Caenorhabditis elegans: one gene and its partner. The protein of the gene in region 1 purifies or fractionates together with the protein of each later gene. This does not show direct contact. Each region holds a gene or a part of one and is shown on either strand. Other genes may lie near its edges. The genes, in order: lys-7 and M116.5.

Region 1 (9,569 bases):
AATACTTGCGCAGACCATACCAGTGAAGCATACTAATAATACGGCTGTTTTCATTATACAAAATTGTTTCTGGAAAATATGCGAGATTAAAAAAAAGGTCAGCAACTGACATCTCACAGGTCTTCAGAAAATAAACGAGCCCGTGAGATGTCGGCCGTAATGGTTCTGAAAGCTACATTAGCAAGTTTCTACCAAGAACTAAATTTACATCAGTTTTCGACAATGCTAATAAATCTGATTTATTAGTGAAAAGATTTATTACAATACCACGAAAAAATTATTTGCTCAGTTTTCCGAAATCTGTAGAAATTTATTAGGTTCAATAAATCCATTAAAAACAATTTTTGCATGTCAATCTGTAACCTCTGAGCAACAAAAAACTGAGCAGCCGACATTGAGAGAGGTCCTCTTGCCTTTAAATTTACCAAAAAAAAATAGAAGGGATGTGATTTTTTTAAAATATGTATAAGCAATGATGATTTAAATCGTTATTTGACATTTTTAGATAGTGTGACCGCAATTGAACTCTGATTTTTCGGTTTTTCAATTCTTCCGAACTTCAAGAGAATCGAGACGACAGTCGACTCAATGGCGCATCCAATGATTTTCATTACAACTGTGAAAGGACCAAGAACCTGGAACGAACGAATTTCTATCTGAAACTGGAGGTCTTACGTACTTCAATTGAGAAAATGTGAGGCCACATGCCGCCACAGAAAACTGGGATAAAGTCGAATAAGAAGACTGTACAGGTGTCCAGTAATGCGAGACGATTCGCCTGAAAAATTATTTGAAAAGTTTGGTGGAAAAAGTACGCTAGCCTTACTTTTGAAAGTTTATTATTGTTTTTGTGTTGTTGTTGTGACTGTTTTTTATTCCAAAATAGTAATTTGATGGATAGAACTATAGATACAAAAACGTTGATAGAAAATACAATCTGAAATTCGAGAAATTTTTATGGATCTTGTGAGATGAGATAAATATGTTCAGGCTTTATACAAATAAGAATTTATCTTGGTTTTACACAGCCAAGATATTGTCGGCTGCTCTAAATGTTCCCATACTCAGACAGACCGGAGTCACGGCTGAGCGACAGAAAATCACTGCTAAGTAGCAAAAACTAGTAAAACCATAGATTATCAGCAGAGAACCACTGCTACTTAGCACACCACCGCTAATTAGCTAAAACCCACTGCTAATTAGCTAAAAACCACTGCAGAACATTGATTATTGATTTTATTTTGTTTTTCTTCGTCGTATTTCCCATATTTCATTTTCTCTACCTTTTTTATTGTATTTTTTGTGTGATATGTTATCAATATTTGTTAATTGTTAAGTCCAGTGTGTTTTTCGAAGATTTGTATCATTCCAGGCTAGAAAAAGAGGATTATGGTCAGAAATCCAAGAACAACAGTTCGAAGATTTTTGAATTCAGCACCCCGATGTCTTCTTGTTAAAAGCGTGACAGTACAGTTACGCTAGGAAAATTTTTTTAAAAGTTTTTATTGTGTCTAAATAACTACTTTCAGACCCGACGGACAATAATCATGGTGATCACCAGCCGGGAAACAAAGGTTCATTCAATTACTCTCCTTCCAAGTGTTGTGAATATGCTGTTCAGGAATCATCTCAAAGTCCGATTGTAGGTTTATTGTTCTTTATTTTAAAAAGCCAGCGAATATAAGTTTTTAACTTGAAAAAACAATGTTTTCACACTTTTTTGCAGCGATCATGCCCGTGGTTTGTATCGAACAAAACACGACGACCAGATACCACCAAAAATTGTGCTGCCAAAGCGTCCGATCATCGATTGCCAGCAATTCTACCAGAGCAGCGAGGATATCGATGAGGAGCAAGTTCCATCAACTTCGAACGCCGCATCAACTTCAAAATCTGCTGGCAAGTGAAAAACCCCCAGACTTCCCAGAAATTCACTAGTTCTCCTGTTTTCTGATACTTTCAAAACTTGTTTTTTTTTTGTTTTTTTCCATTCTGCGTTAAATGTTTTTTCTGTTGTTTTTTTTTTTCATTTTCATAATAAATCGTGTTATTTTTTTATGGTTTTATAAAAGTTTGGCTCTTCGCAAAAACAAAACTAGCTAGCTAGAAAGCAGAACTATGTAGCAAAACACCACCGCTAATCAGCGGAAAAGCACAACTACTGCGGTTGACTAAGCCGTGGCACAAATGCTGATTAGCAGTGATTTTCTGTCGCTCTGCCGTGACTCCGGTCTATCCGTATACGGATGGCAAAACCGTTAAGTGTCGGCTGCTTGCCCTCAGACTTACACTTCTCTGGAGCATGAAGTAATTGTAGAAGCATTTATTAATTGCACATCCAAACTGCGTACACGTTGCAGGGATTAAGTCTTCATCAAAGCCACAGAACCCATAAAGAACAACATTTTCAAATAGGCCATATGCCACAGCAAATAGGAAAATACAGAAATTCGGGATTTTCAGAGTAATAGTTCTGTATAATAATGGAACGCATACTGCAGTCGCTCGTTCTACTGCAATTGCAAGTGCGACTATAGACCGACAAGAGGCGATATTTGACCAAGGAAGGCCCAAATAAATTAGCAAATTGCGGTGCTCACTCATGAACTCCAAATTATCAGTGTTTATAGTGTTTGGTTTTATTTGAAGAAAAATTATTGTAAATGAATTATGCTCACGTGCCAAGCCAAAACACACATCCAGTACAAAGCGATAGTAAAACAATCCCATTTCACGTTTTCGCTGTGATTTTTTTCTAAAATAGTATCTTAATTTTTTAATAGGTAACATGTAGAAGTAATAAACTTACAAAACAATTTTCCAAACTAAATTTGCGTTTAGCAAAACTTCAATATTTGCGCAGACTATACCAATGACGCATACCAATGCTACGATTGTTTTCATTATGAAAAATGTTCCTGAAAGATGTAGGAATTAAGATTCGGTTGCTAAAATGTTCGGGGGTTGAAAAACAAACTAGCTTGTATTGCTAAATTTACATCCGGTTTCCAAAAAGCCAACAAATAATTTGTTTGATTTATTACTGCAAAAATTTATCACGCTTAAAAAAGAGGTTTAAGTTGTAAAAAATCCATCAAAATTGGCAACAAAATTCAGAAATCAAACTGCAGATACTGCAGATATGTAACTATGATGGTTTGAGCTGAATAAAAAACTTGCTAAATATTTTCTGCGCCGAAGAAGGTGCGAGCTAGACAGTTTTATAAAATTTTGAAAAATTAGGACATTAAAAGAAAAGGACATTCTGAAATTTTAGACCAACCGACGAGAACTATTTTTGTCTTTTAGAGTTTTATTTTGAAAATGAATCCTGTTGACTATCACGGGATTGACCACCAGACTCTATTCGGAAAATTCTCTTTTGTTCTGAGTAGATTTAATTCTTTTTCACAATGAGTTCAGGTTTTTTGCCACTTTCACAAATGAATTCCATTTAATCAGCTTTAACACGTTTTAAAGTTTTTAAATAACCTTCAGAATTAAAAATTAGATAACTGTTGAAGATATTTTTGCCCCAGTTTTTGATTAATTTGATTAAGCTTTGAGATTTAAAAATAAAGTTGAATTAAAAAATTCTTTAGGTGATTTGCTGTATGAGAAATATACATCCGAAACAAAGATTCCACATACATTTTACATTTCATTAAAAAACGGTTTGTGATGCGTAGAATCTGTGAATAATATAGGTCCAGTGGAGGGCGGCAAACAATTTTTCCCGGCACATTGCCGGAATTGGAATCAAAATTTCCGGTAAATCGGCAATTTGGCGATTGGCCAAATTTGTCTACAAAAAAATTTGCTGAGCGACAGTTGCCGCCCACCGTATAGGTTCCAAGCATTGTTTAAAAATCGGGTTTTTAATGTATGTTTTATTTGCTTAAAACCTTTTTTATTAGAGGACGAATCTTAAGAAGTTATCAAATTTTCAGACTTCCTTGCACAAATCCTCCAGCATAAATCTTCCCGTCTTCTTCAACAGCCTTGAGCACATTTCCAGCTAGATAAACATCTCTGTTGACAGTGATACCACAGACTGTCTCATCTTGCGCAAACTGCTTGACAGATGGAGCTGTCCAGCATCCAAATTTACGGAAGTCATTGAAGTTGGCAGGAGTTTCTCCAGTGACTCCACCGCTGTACACATTCCAATACCAGAGGAGAACATCATTTCCAATGTTGCTCCATCCGGTCGTGATCTGATTCCAGTCGTAGTAGGAGGTGTAGATTCCGACAGTTAATCCGGATTGCTATAATAATTTTGCTGTAGATTTATAGAACAAGCGTACTACCAGCATACTTTTTTATTAATTTAAATATCTCAATATCTAAATTCTACAAAACACTCACTCTGGCTCTGGAGACAATACTGTTGATGAAGTTAATATTGCTATTCGCGTTATTTGGCCAGTTAGTTGGCGAAGTGACCTGAATCCAGATTGCTCTGACTGTGATCGCTCTTGCAGTCAATCCCTGGATGATCTCATCCAACTGTTGGTAGCCTTGCTTGTTTGAAACGGGCTGTGGAGTCATATAAATCTCAATTCCGAGTCCAGCTTTATAAGCATTTTGAATAGTGACGCAAGAGCTGGTGTCAAAGGATCCTTGTCCTGCTGGGTTGTATGCACTGGAAATTAACGATACCTAGGGTTTAACCCACCAGAACTCAGATCTTGACTATTTACAAGTACTACTTAACACATTTCGTTTGGGTTCACAAATTCAGTAAGTCACCTTAAAATGAAAATTCTCTGCGAAAAACTAGTTGAAAAATCTCCTCCGTTCAACTCTTACCGAACGAAAACTGCACAATAACCCGCTTGTTTAATGCATTGCAGTTGGCTGAGCGTGGTTTGGACATAAATATCCAAGGCGTAAGCATAAGATGCCAAGTTTGACGGCACATTTGGAGCAGGCTCCGCAATGACTTCACTGAATTTGACTGGAAGGGATGAGTCAACAATCGGGGGAACCTTGACTGATGCCGAATGGCAGAGTACTGCAAGTACTGAGAAAATGACAATCGATTTGTGGGCCATTCTGAAAAGTTTTAAATTAAAATCTAGAAATGCATTAAAAAAGAAGAGACAAATTTTTTGAAAGAAGGTGAGTAGCAACCAATATTTATACTGTTTACTTCAGTGTGCTCAAAACGGCGTAGTTATCTGAAAATCAAATTTTAAGCTTTTTCGGAAAAGATTACCACATCAACAAACTCTCCTTATCAGTTGCTCTTCACATACTTTCGTGTGATTATGTTGCTGAAAATGAAAAACACATGAAACACAGTGTCGATTACCGGAAATATGATGACTTTACTTGGTTCACATTTTCATAAACACCTTGATTTTTTGATTTTTTTTTTAATTCTCGTTTCACAATGCTCAACATAAAAAAATTTGAGGCTTCCAAAATTTATTTCGCCGTAAAAAATGAAGAATTTACAAACAATTTTATACGAATTGCTCTTAGAGGTGAAACTTCAATAAAAATAAATACGATAGTTTTAATTGTGAAAAAAGTATTTATTTCATGTTTTCGAGTATCTTGACGATGCTTTTCTAACCGCCACGTTCTGAATACTAACTGAATTCTCATCTTTCCTAAGCACCAAAAGTCTAGATACAACTATTGATTCTATGGCGCATCCGATGATTTTCAGTACTGAGTTGTAGGGACCGACGACCTGGAAATTGGAGTTTTATTTTTGAGGTAGAGCTTGTTGCGGTTGTTGCGGCGGAACCCGTGAAACGTCTGCCGCGGCACAAAAACCCACATCAAATGAAAAAACTGGTGCAGTAGGCCACATAGTCCCGCAAAATGATGGAAGAAAATCAAATAGTAGAACCACAAAGGTGTCTAATAAAGCTAGCCTATTGGCTTTGGAAATTTGATTGCTAGATTGCCCATTAGTATTCCAGATAAATAGTTTTATAGATATCAGTATAGAAAACACCAGGATCGAGAAAAATATTATCTGAATTTAAACGAAAAGCTTAAAAAAAATTATTTTAAACTATTTTTCTTACACTTTTATGAATTGTCCAAAAGCTGTAGAAACAAGAGTTCACCGCGCATCCAAATACTTTACAGTTTGATGGGATATCCAGTTTGTAGTCGCAAAACTTAAAGAGCCATATCTCCTCGGAAAACCCGAAAGATATGGCGAGCAGGAAAATAAGCCAGTTTGGGATTTTGCTCCTGGTTGTACGGTACAAAATTGGAAAATATGCGGCAATGAACCTTTCGAATGATATTGATAGGGCGATTGCAGATCGGCAGGCTGCAAAATGTGACCAAGGAAGCGCGGAGTATACAATGAAACTGTTGTAATTGACCATAAATTCGGGAAAATTCATTGACAGAATAGTGTACACAATATTGCAAAACACTGAAAATTGAATTTTTTAAATTAAAAGTTTGAATTTCCCGCAAAAACTTTTTTTGCAACATTTTGAATTTCCTGACATGTTTTTTTTTTCTAAAATTTCAACTTCGCGTTAAAAATTTTTTATCATGAAGTTTGAATATCATCCAAAATTTTAACTCAAAATATTTGAAATTAGCGCCAATATGTTTTCTCAAAAAAAAAAAGTTGAATATTCCCCAAACCATTCTGCAAGAAAATTATTTTTTCTCAAATATACTTAAACTTTCGGCAACATGTTTTATCAAAAAAAAAAAACATTTAAATAATTTTTTTTCACAAAATTGAATTCCGCGCCTAATATTATTTTTTGGTGAAATTAATTGAGCAACATTTAAAAATTTTGACATCATTTTTTCGATTTCTGCAAAAAAACTTTAAAGAAAAATAAAAATTTGAAGATCCGGCTATTTTTCATCCAATTGAAAAAAAATTCTCGCTGGAATATCGGGAATTTTTTTTCTAAAATTTCTATTAAAATGATGAATCATAGAATTTTCATGGAAATTTTCAGCTCAACAACCTCCACACTTACAAAAAGTGCCAAAACATGTGTCCGTTAAAAATCGATAATAGAACAACTGCATGTCGTCATTTCGATTCGCTTTCTTCCTTAAAAAGTTAACATTTTTCGAAAATCTAGTCATTAAAAACTCACAAAACAATTTTCCAAATCAACCTCGCATTCAATAAGACAGTGATAAAACCACTTACAGCTCCAAGAGAGCATATCAAGTAAATTATCATATCCATAGAAATGTAAGTCAAAGAATAAAAATCAAAAATTTATGATAAAAATTAATATAAAACGAGAACTAAGAAATACTCAATTAGGTTTGCCAGAAGGCGTCCAACTCCTGGTAATTGGATTCCAAAATAACAGGAAATCAGTCAGAAACATGTCTATAATTTGAAAAGGAAACGTACACATAATTATGATGACTAAACTCGCGTAGATTTTAGTAACATTGCTACCAAAAATTCTAGTTTCAAACATACATAGTAAATACAATATTAAAATTGAAAAATTAATGATTTCTGTTTGCCAGTTTTGGGTTAATGAAAAAACGTTCCAAAATTTTTAGTTCCTAAGTTTTCTGTGATTTGAAGTGGTATGGCTATTGTTTTAAATATTGCAGCGGACATTTTCTGGTCCGCTGCAATATTTAAAACAATAGCCATACCATTTTCTGGGTCCACTTTTGGAACAGAACATGAATCACCCAAGAAACATTGTTTTTGCTTTTTTGCTTTCGATACAGAGCCAAAATCTAATTTTCATTCAAAAAGGCAATAACAAGTCTGGCAGCGTAATTATGACAATTCAGGAATTTTTCCTCTTCAGAGAATTGTTATGGTGCAGTCGACATCGATCAAAGTCGGAGTTCACACTTGGTGTCACGCTGTCCCATCGAGGTGTGATTTTCAAAAAATACCGGAGTGTTTCGCGTGAAAAATGTGACGTCAGCACGTTCCTACCCATGCGAAATCAGTTGGGAGGTCTGTGTTTCAATTCCCGCAATTCTTGTAGATCTACCTTGTTCAAACCGGAATGAGACAATTTGCCGTCGATGGAAATTTTATTTTCGGCCGCATTTTTGCGTCACGATGTTTGCACAAATAAGGTTTTCATGAGACAATTATTTAAAAAAGAGCACAACGCTAGTGATTAAAATCGAACAATTATAAGGACGAATTTCTTGAGACTTTTTGAAGTATAGTTGTTACAGTACTTGCTGCAACTCCATGATCTTTTTTCAGCAGAAGTCTGGAGACGAGGAACGAGTCAATTGCACACCCAGTGATTTTAGAGACAGCATTGTAGGGCCCGACGAGCTGGAAAATGTCACAAATTTTTTCTATTAATTGTTGCTCAAAAACGTACATCAAAGTTGAACATTGGTGCTGTAGGCCACATGGTTCCGAAGAAAGATGGGACAAAGTCAAAAATGAAGACAGTGCAGGTGTTCAGAAGGGCTAGTCGGTTTGTCTGGAAGCTTTTGGATTTCAGATTTCGAAAAAAAAATTAAACTACCTTCGAAAGATGCTTGCTGCTCTGTTTGCCTTTGGAATTGTTCCACACAAACAATTTCACTGACAGCAATATAGAGGATACAAGAATTATGGCAAATATTATCTGAATTTTAGGAATTCAGATATTTGGACTCGAAAATATTTATAGCTTACAGTTCTGTGAGCTGTCCAAAAGTTATAGAAGCATTGATTCACTGCGCATCCGAATGCTCGGCAGTTTGGAGGAATGTCAAAACTGTAGGAGCAAAATCCGAAGAGCACAAGCTCTTCGGATAGGGCAAATGCAACAGCCATGGAGAAAATGGAAAAGTTCGGAATTTTGTTCCTAGCTGTTCGGTATCTAATTGGAAAATACGCAGCGATGAGTCTCTCGAGTGAAATTGCCAGCGCAATTGCAGACCGACACGTGGCAAAGTTGGACCATGGAAGGCCCAGGGTCACTATGAGACCACGATGATTACTGAATAAGTGGGGTACCTCCATTGTAAGTATCACAAAAATAATGTAGACGAGCACTTAATAGATCAAATTGAAAAAAAGGTTTATGTGAGATAAAAACTTACAGCAAGTCGAAAAGCAAATGTCCATTGTGAAACGGTAGTAGAAGAGTTGCAAGTCGTCATTTCGTTTAGATTTTTTCCTGAAAACCGTATGGTTTGTGACGTCACAAAGAATGCGTAAATGTGCAGCCGACGGAAATCGGGGCCTGATTCCTGTCGGCCGCGCATTTACCAACAAATTTTCCCGTAAGGCAATGATATTTAGCATGAAATTTTAAACTTACAGAACAATTTTCCAAACCAAATTCCCATTCAGAACAATTGTAACAAGTGAGCTCACTGCTCCCAAAAGGCAAACAACTGTTATAATGATGTCCATTATAGAACTGACAACGGGTCTAAAGAGAATGTCTACTGGCATGCGGAATGGTGAAAACTGAAATTCTTAGGTGATAATGGGAATAACAATGCGTTTGATTAGGGAAATCACATTAAAAATACAATTTTCCTAGTGGGGCAAAATTCTGACTTCTGACAATAGGAAGTGAATTGGGGTTCTTGAAAAATAGGTTCAAGATCAAGTTAATAGT
Region 2 (14,118 bases), on another chromosome or scaffold:
ATAGGGAGTGCAAGACTATTAGGGAGTGCAATACTAATTTTCAGAACATTTTCTGACTTTGAGCTTACTAGTTTTTTCCTGAAAAAGCTCGAATCATATATAAAAATTCAGAAAATTTGATTTTCATATAATTTCAAAAACTTCAATCTCGTAGAAATGATGTGAAAACTGTTGCAAAATAGGCAAAAAATGTTGTTGAAATCCTGAAATTAGCGAGACGGGTTTGCAATACAAAAAAGTTAACGCAAGACTATTAGAGAGTGCAAGACTAATAGGGAGTGCAATACTAATTTTCGGAAGGTCTCCGAGGGGCAATACTAATAGGGAGTGCAAGTCTAATAGGGAGGCCATATTAATAGAAGATATACGGTAGCTGGGCAGAAAATATAAACTTACAGTGATAGGAACTGGAAGATCACCAATCATTGCTCACATACCGATTACAATTGTTTTCTTTTTTTTTCACTGTTGTAATTGTGACCTGGGAAATTTAGGACTTTGTAAAATTCATTTTTTGAAATCAAAATTTTCTAATGGTTTACCCCACTTACCAGTACAAAAAAGTAGAGCAGAAGCGGTTCAAATATGGAAAATACGGAACTTATTTGTTGTTGGTTCATTTTATAGATGCAGTTATATTCGCTCTAAACTTTGTTCCAAATATACTAAACTACAGTATCCATTACACGAGCTTGTGGATGAATAGCAATAGATGTATCAAGTATTCCGAGTAAATCTTTTGAAGTTAAAAGCTGTTAGAAATATATTCCAATTTGATCGACTACATCCAATAAATAATATTTGAATTATGAGTGGTGTAGTCAAAACATCAATCAATGCTGTCCATATTATAAAATCAGTTACTCGGAAAATACCTGATCTACTATATAAAACATAACATATAACAAAAGGTATTATAATCTGAAAAACAAAAAAAATGATTTTTTTCGATTTTTGCGTAAGGACTAACCGTTTTTGCAAGCAATGTAACAACAGCCTGCAATAAAATATATTTTTGTAAATATAATTGTTGCTCATTTTGTGATTGACCATTAGTCCGGAAACTTAATAAAATTGGTAAATACAAAATAGGTGATATTATCAAAAATACAAAATTCAATAAGACGAATAATATCTGAACAAGAATAAATTAATAATGCAATTAATCAGTTGTAAACTCGCCTCGTATATAATAATGATTGTATTGAGTGCATGATGGGAAGAAGTATAGGAGCAAATTTTTTAAGGATACAAGAAATATGAACGTATGAAATATTTCTACAAAAACTATAAGTATAAATCCAATTAGAACAAACCAGAAAAATGCAAAAATGTAAAGGAAACCGCTGGAAAGATGAGAATTAAACGAGGAGCATACTGTTATTTCAGCACGATTGTTCCGTTTACCATTGAAATCACGGCTGGGAAATTTTTGGTTTTTTTTGTTTTTTGTTTTTTGGTTTTTTTGGTATTTTGACGAAAAATCGATTTTTTGGTTTTTTTGGTTTTTGGGACCAAAAAACCAAAAAATAAAATAAAAAAGTTTGCCGTTCCTAGTTTCGACTCGAGACTATTCTTTATTAAAATACATTAAAACATGTATTTTAAGACAGTTGTGACGTCAGAAATGTATTTTGATACATTTTGAAACATTACTGAATAACCCGATTAAAAATCAACTGAAGCATAAAAAATTTTTTGGTTTTTTTTTTTGGTTTTTTTGGTTTTTCGAAAACTTCAATTTTTTTTTTCTTTTTTGGTCCAAAATTTCTTTTTTGGTCCCAGCCCTGATTGAAATGCCACAGAGCCGAGCGCCGTTTTCAGATTTATTTTTATTATAATTTTCATTGTATATTTTTTTGTGATAAGAACTAAAAAAAACAGCCTCAAACTTTCAAACGGTGCCCGGAACGATCGTTCTGGCCCGAAAATATTCCGGAAACATACAATGAACTTGGTTTATAGTAACGAATCAACCTTACTCCAAGCATAATTATTATAATGCATATAATTAAAAAAATGAATAAAAATAGGATCTTATAGTCATGTCATAGAGATGATGAACAATCTTTGGGAAAACCTGAAAAATCAGATAGTCCGGTTACAAATTTCCATCCTTTTCCAAAACATCTAAAGTACTGTCGCATATTCAAATTGTTATAATGTTTACAAAAAAGATGAATATTTTAAACATACAGTTTTTTCTGACATACAATACTTAGTGTCAGACAATAATTAGATGAATTAGAGAGTGCAAAATATCCATATTAATTTTCGAGCAAGTTTTATCTGTTTCTTCCATTGAGTAATGACACCATTTCATCAGTTTCAATATTACGGGGACCATAAATTCTGAGAATTGCACAACATATTTGACAGAATAGCGAAGACTACAGTAACTCTTTAAATAAAAGTTTAAACAAAAGTAAAAGTTTTTCTAATACTATTAGGTCCAATTAAGAAATTTAAGAGTATTCAATTGAACTTCAGCAGTGAACAAGAGTGTTCGTACACCGATAGGTTCAGGCAGCCTGGCAGGCATGAATTATTACGTAGTTCGCCTCAAACAAAGGCAAGACCTACATTTCTTGGACCTTTCGGAACTACATGAAATTTTTAAACTTTATGATAAATTTTAACTTTTGCAATAAATTTAACTGTTTTCTGACGACGATTAACTTTGTGGACATAAATATAAAATGGAAATACTAGAAAATGACTGAAGATGACAAATAAGAAACTTAGTTTTGAAATTTTTGCATTGATTATTTTGAGAAGTCCGTCGTCATCCAAAAACTGCGTATTATTCATAATTGCTGTAGAACATATAAATTCCAAACTACTCAGCTGAAGGCTAAAGGTATGAAGGTGGAAATAGTTTTATCACCTGTTACATGCCGGAGAATTGACTAAAAATATTTTCTCAGCCAAAATTATTGTTTTCTTCTTAGAAATTCATTATGCCTCAGACTTGATTTTTTGATATCGAAATTCTGCCAAAGAAATTCAACTGGGTTTTCAATATTTCTGGCATTTTATTTGTTTTACCACTGAGCTTCAGTGTTCCATTTGTAGATTTTTCAGTTTTCCGTGAGAATTTAGTCAAAATGCGCAGAAAAACTTATTGAAAGCTGAAGTCTATTTATCATTTTAATTGTTGACAAGGGTTACGGTAAGCGACCGCAAGTCCGCAAGCATCGTCACGTCACAGTGCACAGATAAATTTGTTTTTGAATAAGAATGTTTGTTGCTCTCGTCTTTTTTCTTGTGATTTGTATTCATCTCTCTAGGTTTTTTTCGAACATTTTCTACCACTTTCTTACGAAATTGTTTAAAATATAGCTTCATGCTCACAAATTACTAGTTTTCACTAGAATCCGATTTTGGGTGTATTTTTTCCGATATCTAAATATTTCCATACAAAAAATCGAATCTCCTGGCTCATGTTCAACGATTTTCGAATTTTTGATGCTGTCCGCGCTTTCTGTCTCTCCCTAACAAACGGTATCAGAGTTATTTTTGTCAGAAACGATTTATACTGATTTACTCGGAATAGATTCGCTTCAAAAACACGACCCTTTATGGAAGTAAGTGTGATACCAATTTTCTGAGTAAAAAATAAAAATTTTTGGAAAGCAGAAGCATTTTTTAATCAAAAGAAACGTTTCCAAAAATTTTATTGTAGTAAGTAGCTTGGATTGCTCTAGCGAAAATTTAAAGTTTCAAGTTTTCTCTATATTGTGCTCTCATTTTCATATTCTATCTCAAACTCTACATTTCTTCTTCAAAATGTTATTTTCAGAGTATATAATCATCTCAAGCGTTTCTCAATTGTTATTCACATGAATAAAAGAAATGGTTGGAGAAAAGAATCGTAGTCAACACAAAATCGATCCTTCTGATGCTCAGGAGAAAGATATTTTGGATCATTATGAGCTGAATAGGGGAAAATTTAATGGTAAGCGTAACGTTTCCTGAAAACTAAATCTTCAATATTTTGCAGATGTCCGGGACACAATGCAGAAAAAGACGTTTACAAAATGGGTTAACAAACACTTGACCAAGGTGATTTTTAATTTTGAAAAAATGCTCGAGAATTTATGAAAAACCAAAAAAAAAAGGTGAAAATGCTTGAAAAATGCGAAGTTTCGCGGTTTACAGAAATTTCAATTATTTTTACACTGAAAACATTTCAAACACATGAATAAAAATCAGTTTGGAAATTTGTTTTTTCTCGAATGAATTTTTGTATTGAATTGTTGAAATTCGGATTTTAAAAATATAGACTTTTGCTAAAATAAACCAGATTTAGCCTGAAATCGACAAATAGACAACGAAAACATTATAAAATTTAGCTTACATCTTGCCATTTTTATGTCAATTTTTTCAGACGGATCACACAATCGTCGATTTGTTTGTCGATTTACGGGACGGGTTTGCACTGATCGCGTTGTTGGAAGCTCTTACTGGCGAACGAATTGTGAGTTTTCGATTTTTTTAAAGATTATTCGCCTGAAATGCTTGTTTTTACTGAAAAATTAGTGTTGTGTTATTTTACAGCAAAGAGAGAACGGCTACACGCGATTCCATCGGATTCAGAATGTACAGTACTGTCTAGACTTTTTGAAGATGAAAAATGTAAGTTTTCTGGAAAGACAGGCTGAAAAAAAGACGAATATTGTAATTTTGGTTTCACGAAAAAACTTTTAAAATTTATTTTAGCTGAGTTTTCTTTAACAGTTAAAAAAACGAAGGAAAATTTATTGGAAGTTTTTCAGATCAAACTAGTGAACATTAGGCCGGAGGACATTGTGGAGGGAAATGGAAAACTGACACTCGGACTCATTTGGACAATTATTCTCAACTTCCAGGTTTCAGTGATTCGTCAACGTCTTCTTTTGGAATCTTCACAACATGAACAAACGAATGAAAAACACACAACCAACTCACAGGTGTTTTCCTTTTTTTTAATTAATGTATTTAACAAGTTCGAAATGGGTTTGGAGGGGGTTAGAGCTGAAAATTCACTAAAAAATTGAAAAGTTTCCGATATCTACGAAACGCGCATGCGGAAAACGTAGTTCAAACTATCCGTTTCTGGCAAAATTTGCTTTAAAAATTGGAAGTTTATAGGAAAAGTTCTTACTTCACCAAGAATTTAGAGATTTTCTGAAATTTGCCGAAAGATTCGTATTTTTTTTGTTTGAAGTTTATCAAGAATTAGGATTTCTCGATTTTTTAGTTTAGTAGTTCATGCCGAGAGATTTTCTGAGTTATGCTGGATATTTTCGAAAAATACAACCCAATTCGACATGCTAATCTTACTTAAATATTGACGAAACAATCTAATTTGTTTTTTTCAGGACTCCATTCATAGAAGTGAAACGACATCGGCGCGCGATGCATTGCTTCAATGGGCCAAACGGGTATGAAATACAATATTTTCATAGTGGGCTCCAAGAGCTCGAGAGCTGGAAAACATGGAAAAAAAAACATTAGTTTGTTCTTACAAGCTGGTTAATTATTTGAAAATTTTCATGTTACTGTATTAAAGATGATGATACAAAATTTTGGTAAAATTTAGGATTAGATCTAACTTGGGTTTTCTTTTCGAAATTTGGAACATTGAACATTTTCCGTAGAAGTATCATAAATACAAAAGTGACGTTCCGCTTTCAGACACAGTTTGAATTTGTATAAAAATCTATAATAAACTATTTTTAAATGTCATCAGAGTACTGTAAATAGTAAGTTAATTTAGTGCCTGAATATTTTCCTTTTCAGACGACTGCTGAATATCCACGTGGGAATGTGATTAACTTCTCGAATTCATGGCGTGATGGACTCGCCTTCAATGCAATTATTCATCGTTATAGAAGCAGTGCTATCGATTGGAATAAGGTATTTTACATTTGTTGCGAAATCAGTTCTAGCGCTTTTTTAGAAATATGTACAATTGTTTTTCGTCAAATTTGTACTTTCTGAAAGCACACAATCGCTGGACACAAGCTATAGATTGTGTTTCTATTTAATTATAATCTTGATTTACAGATCAATTCGGATTCAGTTTCCAACACGGAACGATTGAACATTGCTTTCGCAGCAGCGGACCGCGAATTCGGAGTCGAACGTCTTCTTGATGCTGAAGATGTCGACACAAACAATCCGGATGAGAAATCGATCATCACATACGTTTCATCGCTTTACAATGCTCTTCCACAGGAGCCAGAGATGAGCAAAGTGAGCATTTGGTTTATAGCCCTTAAAATCGAATTTTCAAGTTTTCAGTTCGCCGCCAGTGGTGGAAAGCGCCTCGAAGAAGAGATTGGCAAGCTTCAAGCGGATGCTGATCACATTTTCGAAGCTCTCGCAGTAATATCCAAGGATGAAGCTCTCCAAGAAAGCCCGTCATTGCTTCTGGTTTCAAAACAAGTTTCCAAAAAGATTGAACAATTGAAAGTATTGTTGAAGCTAGTTGAAGAAAAAAAGGATACATTTATTTCGAAGTGTAAGCTCGTGATGAGGACGGCTGGGCCTGAATCTGATGCGAAAGAACTGGATTCTTTGATGAAACATGTTGAAGACGCGTATTCAGATGTTTTCGAATTGATTTCTGATAAAGAAGGACTAATTGATCGATGCAATGCTTCTAATGTTAGTCGTTAGACTGAAAAATATATTTAATTCATTAGAGCCCCATCATTGCCTCTTTAAACTAAATATTCGTGTGTCACACACGGTTTGTTGTTTCACAGAGAGTTGCGAGAAGCAATCCAGTATCCAATGGTTTACAGATAAATTCGGACTCAGTTCCCAACACTGAAAGCCTGAACCTCGCTTTCGCCGCAGCGGACCCCGAATTTGGAGCCGGACGTCTTCTTGACGCCGAAGATGTCGACACAAACAACAATCCGGATGAAAAGCCGGTCATCACATATGTTTCGTCGCTTAAGAATGCTCCACAGGACCCAGAGATGAGCAGAGTGAGCATTTGGTTTATAACCCTCGAATTCGAAATAAATCCACACGAAAAAGCTAAAAACATGCTAATGTTCAAATTTTCAGTTGGCCGCCAGTGGTGGAAAAGGCTTCGAAGAAGAGATTGGCAAGCTTCAAGCAGATGCTGATCACATTTTCGAGGCTCTCGCAGTAATGTCTAAAGATGAAGCTCTCCAAGAAAGCCCGTCATTGCTTCTGTATTCCAAACAAATTCGATTCAACAAAATTCAAAAATTGAAAGAGTTGTTAAAGCCAGTTGAAGAAAAAAAGGATACATTTATTTCGGAGTGCAAGCTCGTGATGAAGACGGCTGGACCTGAAGCAGATACGAAAGAACTGGATTCTTTGTTGAAACAAGTCGAAGACGCGTATTCAGATGTTTTCGAATTGATTTCTGATAAAGAAGGACTAATTGATCGATGCAATGCTTCTAATGTTAGTTGTTAGGCTGAAAAATATATATTTCATAAGTTTGAGTCCCATCGGGACTGATAAGAGCCTTTTAAACCTAGGCAGAGACTAGAGATTATGTTTCTATTTAATTATAATCTTGATTTACAGATTAATTCGGATTCAGTTTCCAACACGGAACGATTGAACATCGCATTAGCCGCAGCGGACGCCGAATTTGGAGCCGGACGTCTTCTTGATGCTGAAGATGTCGACACAAACAATAATCCGGATGAGAAGTCAATCATCACATACGTTTCGTCGCTCAATAATGCTTTTCCACTGGAGCCAGAGATGAGCAAAGTGAGCATTTGTTTTATAACCCTCAATTTCAAAAGAACACATTAAAAGCTAAAAACATGCAAATGTTCAAGTTTTCAGTATGTCGCCAGTGGTGGTAAGCGTCTCGAAGAAGAGATTGGCAAGCTTCAAGCGGATGCTGATCACATTTTCAAGGCTCTCGAAGAAATATCCAAGGATGAAGCTCTCCAAGAAAGCCCGTCATTGCTTCTGGATTCAAAACAAGTTTCCAAAAAGATTGAACAATTGAAAGTATTGTTGAAGCCAGTTGAAGAAAAGAAGGATACATTTATTTCGGAGAGTAAGCTCGTGATGAAGACGGTTGGGCCTGAATCTGATGCGAAAGAACTGGATTCTTTGATGAAACATGTTGAAGACGCGTATTCAGATGTTGTTGAATTGATTTCTGATAAAGAAGGACTAATTGATCGATGCAATGCTTCTAATGTTAGTCGTCTGAAAATACCATACGTTTGACTGAAAAATTGAATTTTCCAGAGAATCGCGCATCCACAAACAGAGACTGAGAAGATAACGAACGAGATCGAGCTGCTAAAAGAGACGTGCAGCTGCTGTACTCCATATCAAATTGAGAAGATTTCCGAGAATTATTATAGGGTACGGTAGTTGACATCTAATGGGGGTTACTGTAGTATTTATGTTTCGGGAAAAAAACACATTTGTTGGTTATTTTTGCAGCGTTCAAAAAGCAATTTCCGAGGTTATTATTTTTCGAAAAAACAATCGAAAAAACAATGTTTTTTTTTTTCAAAAATTCGAATAATTAAAAATTTTATGACAGCCCAAAATTTCAAAAAAAAAATTTTACTGAAATCTCAAAGTTTGTCATCTTTTTCATGTCTTTCCATGGGTCGTAAATTATTTTTTGTTTGAAATGTTTTAGCTAAAATTAGCCCTTTTCTCGAAATTTTGAGACATTTTTGAAACGTCCCAGTATGAAATTATGTTTCTTATTCTGCTGAATTTAAGTCTATACAAGCGAAAACACAAAACCATTCGTCCTATTTTAAAATTATTTCAGTTTGGAGATACCCATATCAAGAGAATGGTTCGTATCCTTCGATCAACTGTGATGGTTCGTGTTGGCGGTGGATGGGAGCCACTTGAAGAGTCACTTCAAAAACATGATCCATGCCGTACAAAAGGACGTCTCAATATCAATATGTTCCCAGAAGCTCGTCCAATTCATGCTCTTGACTTGATGCAATCGTTCACTAAGAATCGGCATGCCAAACAGATGCCCATTGCCGGAACGCCTGGACCAATTATGAAGATTCGCGAAAAAACTGAGAGAAGTGTTCCCATGAGCGGAGGACTCGGAGGAACCGCTGGTTACACAGTTACAACTGAATCGCCTAGGTAATTTATTATCATTTTAAATTATTTTGGGTTTATTCTGTTTTACTTTGCAATGTAGTAAGAATATGCATAAAAGTTACTATAAAGTTCCATTGAAAAATGCATTTTAAAAAATCTAAGAAAATACCTCAAAATTAGACTTTTTTAAATTTATTTTTCTGAAAAGCAAAAGATTTCCCGGTTTCGAAACGACAACTATAATAAAAATCGATGTGCGCCTTTGAATAGTACAGTAATCTCAAACTGTGGTATTTTTTTATTGTTTTTCGTTAAAAACTTATTTATTTATTTATTTATTTAAAAAATTAAAATCAAAGAAATTTCAAGAAATTGTGAGAAATTCTATGAAAATTCCGCAGTAGCGAGAGTTTCAAATTACAGTACTCTTTAAAGGCGCATACTCGTTTCAAACGAGTCGTTTGTATTTAACAAAAAAAAAAGTCGTGTCGGGACCGGGTACCGTATCTTTTTAGCAAAAATAACGAAATTTCGATACGACTGTTTTTGCACTCTTCTTCCATATTTTTAGTATCTTTAAGCTGAAAACATAAAAATTAATCTGAAAAATTGCAGAAAAACGCCTCAGCGCCCGTTTCGAATTCCACGTACTCCATCGGACAAGACCCCTGGACGCCAAAGCCGTGTTGGATGTGTCTCCAATTTGAAAAACTCGATCGTCGAACCGTCGTCACCTTCCCAATCCGAATCGCGAGCCTCACCTGAAGTCGCAGACCGTCAGAAGAGGATTTCATTGTCGTTGAAAGAAAAAGGAAAAAGGTTTTTAAAAAATGCAGAACGAGCCAAATAGATTTTTTCATGCCAGAAAGCTGGAAACTTCCATTTTTACTACCGAAATCAAATTAAAAATTAAGCATTTTGGTGGAGATACTAGGAATTTCTTTTGAAATTATCGAAAAATTGGATATTTAACTGCTGTTTCTGTGCTCCGACTTTTTCATAGAAGTGTTTGAGATTTCAATTATAATTGTTTTTTTTTTCGGCCAAAACTATTCGAGTTGGCAGTTATTAATTTTGTCAGGCTCTAAGCTTTAACTTGTAAAAAATCATTTAAAAAATTCAAGTAAAATTAGAATTTCAGATATTCTCCACAAGTGGGGCCGTCTTCTTCGACTCCGAAATGATGAAATCCATACGACAAAATTGTATTTTTTATTGTTATTTTTCTTTTGAATTGTTGTTTGTTTTCTTTTCATCTAGTGTTCCCATTTTCAATATATTTTCTCCTAAAAGTCAAGTTTCGGGCAGTCTACAGTTGTGCTCCTTTACCACATAATCTTGGGTTACTGTAGTTGGAATCACTTGGCTATTACTTCTCCTCTTCAAGTTGTTTTTTTCTAGACACCGGTACTCCCCTCTTCCGGTCTCGTTTATGTGAATATCATTCCGGATTATTTGTTTATTGATGATGTCTTTTGTTTTAATTTTAACAACTAAAAATCATATTCCAATTTCCTAAGACTAGAGGTGTCGATGGGTCTTTTTTTTTTTTGTGTTACAATCTTTTTTTTTTATTCAGATGTTGAAACGGGGGAAATAATTTATCTGTATTGTTAGATTAAGAATCAACCTGGGCCGCAAGACTACTCAAAGAAATATGACATGTTTTGAGGGACTTTAGTGTTGATAATTTTTTTTTAGTGTAAAACTCGAAGTCTTGTGACATTGAAGAAATCATTAAAGTACCTACAAAATTGAATTAAATTTCCGAACTATGACTCTGTGACTTCAGTTTATTTGAGAAATAGAAAAAAGTGATATTCTGCCAAGCAGCCTCTAATAAATGCCGAGTGTACAGACTCCGCCCCTTTTTCGCGTTTTTCGGGTTTTTTTTGGCTTGCGAAAAAATGTCCCACTTCGTTTTCATTCACAACTCCTGAACCGTGTGACTTCATGCTCTAATATTTGAAATCCTACTAGAAATATTTTGCCCCACGGTGGAGCAGAAAACGGCACTAAGTTCGGAGCAAAATTGAGCCCAGGGCGGCTTTCCCCAGTTTGAAAAAAAACATTTTTGCTCTTTTTACCCCCAAAAAACCATGTTTTAATTGAATTAAAATTCGGGTTTTGCTCGGTTTCATTTCAAATTCATGTGCAAGATACTACTCAGAGAGACTGATTTTTTGAAAAAAAGTTTGAGTTCATAAGTGCAAACGAAAAAAGTTGTGATAAAACAAAAGGCCAAAAAATGCCATTTTGCCAAAAAACATTTTTTTGCGAAAAAGTAGTTTTTCGTCTTTATCTCAAGTTCTACTTCATCTTTTTTGATATTTTTTTTGCTTACCCCACGTAAAAAAACACGCTGAACACGATTTTTAACTCAGAATTAAGAAAAGTTCTATGAGTCGGCCGAGCAAGACGAATAAGTGCCAAATTTTGCACACTTTTCCATTTTCGTGAATCTACTTTTTCAATCATAACTCGGTCAGTTTTCAAGTTTTCTTAGTTTTCTAAAAATTGACGTGTAGGTGTCTCATCAAGACGCATCGAGACATATAAAATTTGTAAAAAGTTCAGTGGGAAAATTTTTCAAGAAAAAATAATTCAAAAATTTAGTACTGGGGGGAGTGGTTTCCTGCGTCTCCTGAACATTTTATCCACTAATGTTTTGCGGAATGTATTTTTAATTCATAGTTTTTGATTTTATCTAATGGAAGATGAAGTTTCGTCGCATTAGCAATGCTCTGCCAAGAGATATTATTTTTTTTAATTTTCAGGCCAAAACTTGTTTTTTTTCTATACATCTGTCTGTGTACAAGATATAGCCCTCAACTGTACGTCTCCCTTTCGGGAATTTTATGATGAGTACAATGCTGTAATAAAATTTTCAAAAATTAGGTTTCTCGCTGACTTATCAGTGATAAACGGTTTTCGAACGTCTTTCCCCAAATAGTCATAATTGAAGAAATCGGAATCGAAAGACGACTCCCTCCAGAAATTTACCTTCCTTACTTCCAGTTTGAGGTCTCACCCACATGGCCGAGTGGTTAGTGCGTATGTCTGCGGAAATTTTGGTAGTGGTTTCAATTCTACCAATTGACAAACTTTTTTGTTTTTTTTTTTGAGTGTTCGGGATTCGAATACTATATAGAAATACTCGATTTTATACAAAATATGGGTACGTCTCCCCCCATATAAATCCTCCTCAAACTTCAATCAATCAAAACTCAGCTTTAACTGATTCATCGGGTGCGTCTGTTTTTGGTCAAACCGAACTCAAAAATCAAGAAGACATTGACCCACTGAAAATTTCACGAACCCTCTAACAGGTTCGAGGCGAAGCCGAGAACCTACGCCCGGCAGGGGGACTCGCCTTACACCCCCTACAACTGGCGGGCCCGCAGGGCCCGCTAGTCCTTGTTTAGACAGAAATATAGTAACAAGCACTTTATTAACAAGTGAATTAAAAAAATATATTAAAAAGAACAGGAGGGCGCATAAATGTTTTCAAAATTAATTGTCACATTCAAAATTTGATAGGGATATTGTGATATGAGGTTAATTCAGAAAAAGAGGTGCATACGAGGGTATGATGAACAGAACGAACAATTATTTAAGAATCTGATTCGAACTCCAAACAATCATTTCCGACATTGACTGATCTACAAAGATAGATGCCTTTCTTCCATCGATACATACAATATCAAATCCTCCAATGACACTTTTTTCCAACTCTCCAGGTTCTTGAATCAACATTTCTCTTTCCACGGGTGCAATACAGTAATCCACATTCTTGAAGATTATTTTACGACAATCGTCATTACTATAATGAGGACGTCCATGATAAAAACGAGAAAACTCTAATCTTCTGTTGGATCCGTGAATCCAATGTTTCAAGAAGAGGTTTACATCTGTCAAAGAAACACTCATAATTTGTGATTTCGGATTAAATGCCAATAAATCATTAAATGCCAATAAATCAGTAATTAATCTTATTGTTGCAGAGCGATGATTTTGGCAAGCAATTGAATGAATTTGCTTAGGATCATTGAATGGCAATTTATTCAAACGAATAGCTTCAGATTGAAGAGCAAACATTTTTAATGTTTTTTCATAAAAACTAGTCTTATAATGTCCGTAAAAAATAGTTTGGAAAGTTTCAATATCCAATCCAGCAAACATTTCGAAAATGTTCATAGTCTCGCAACGTATCGTGTTGTGTAAAGAAAGCTTCACCTTTGGACGGTGAAATATTTCAAGAATGTGACTAATGAACTGCGAAACATTAACTTTTTGATTAATCCACTGAGTGGTATCAATTGTTTTTTGACTATCAATGAATCTCAAAAAAGTGGTGTCCGTTAGCAGGTAGAAATTCGTAGATCGTTTAGGTAGGTAGATGCTGATATTTATGACACATGATAGTTGAACATACATGCTTTTCGCATTCAGACCCAGACGTTCGGTTTGATTTTTAGCCACTGCAGATGTAAAAGAGAAGCCAATCCTGTAAACAAATAACATGCTGAATTAGGTTACTTCGGCAAAAAAGGAGGGTATTTATGTATTATACATTATGTGTTCAAAAGCTTTAACGGAATTAGGTTTTAATTTTGAGATTATTCCTATTGTAAGCCAAAAAATAAAATTATAATAATCACATTCGTAATTGAACACTCTTTAAAGTTGAGATCCAAATATGCAACACATTTTGAGTGTATTTAGGCAAAGTTGCCACCGGCTTTAAAAATTGAAGTGACTTTTTTCAATTTTGTTTAACTTTTAACATTCATTCCCGGTACAGTTAAAAGCACTGACTGCAAAAAAATTTCTATTTAGGCTTTGAACGGCATCTTTATTTGTATTTATTTGTTTTGCCCCCAAGCTTGTTTATTTGAAAGATATCAACAATTATGTAACTATAGAATATTTGAAAAAGAAATGAAAAGTAATTTGCTTGTTTAACATTTTTTTAATAGGACAAACTAGAACTGAGATATTTGAACAATCGGGTGCAATACTAATAGTTGA

What was found.
Region 2: the proteins of lys-7 (region 1) and M116.5 fractionate together in Caenorhabditis elegans (co-fractionation; one large-scale study listed by BioGRID). This does not show direct contact.

The regions. Positions count from the first base shown.
Region 1 is NC_003283.11:3,477,543-3,487,111, forward strand, and holds lys-7 (Lysozyme-like protein 7), read right to left. Parts: upstream 5,059-9,569; 5' UTR 5,058-5,058; coding exon 4,813-5,057; intron 4,646-4,812; coding exon 4,369-4,645; intron 4,269-4,368; coding exon 3,939-4,268; 3' UTR 3,890-3,938; downstream 1-3,889. Other genes in the region: srbc-31 (Serpentine Receptor, class BC (Class B-like)), read right to left, coding at 1-54; srbc-30 (Serpentine Receptor, class BC (Class B-like)), read right to left, coding at 489-635, 680-778, 827-937, 2,290-2,755, 2,810-2,904; srbc-33 (Serpentine Receptor, class BC (Class B-like)), read right to left, coding at 5,549-5,704, 5,795-5,995, 6,048-6,409, 6,981-7,057, 7,104-7,198; srbc-32 (Serpentine Receptor, class BC (Class B-like)), read right to left, coding at 8,129-8,281, 8,331-8,435, 8,481-8,582, 8,633-8,994, 9,043-9,119, 9,264-9,358.
Region 2 is NC_003282.8:8,410,746-8,424,863, reverse strand, and holds M116.5 (Calponin homology domain-containing protein), read left to right. Parts: upstream 1-3,802; 5' UTR 3,803-3,855; coding exon 3,856-3,958; intron 3,959-4,003; coding exon 4,004-4,065; intron 4,066-4,390; coding exon 4,391-4,480; intron 4,481-4,560; coding exon 4,561-4,638; intron 4,639-4,778; coding exon 4,779-4,952; intron 4,953-5,363; coding exon 5,364-5,426; intron 5,427-5,784; coding exon 5,785-5,901; intron 5,902-6,051; coding exon 6,052-6,240; intron 6,241-6,288; coding exon 6,289-6,654; intron 6,655-6,794; coding exon 6,795-6,983; intron 6,984-7,065; coding exon 7,066-7,434; intron 7,435-7,560; coding exon 7,561-7,752; intron 7,753-7,830; coding exon 7,831-8,196; intron 8,197-8,247; coding exon 8,248-8,367; intron 8,368-8,791; coding exon 8,792-9,129; intron 9,130-9,702; coding exon 9,703-9,906; intron 9,907-10,228; coding exon 10,229-10,271; 3' UTR 10,272-10,599; downstream 10,600-14,118. Other genes in the region: M116.1 (F-box domain-containing protein), read right to left, coding at 12,697-13,594.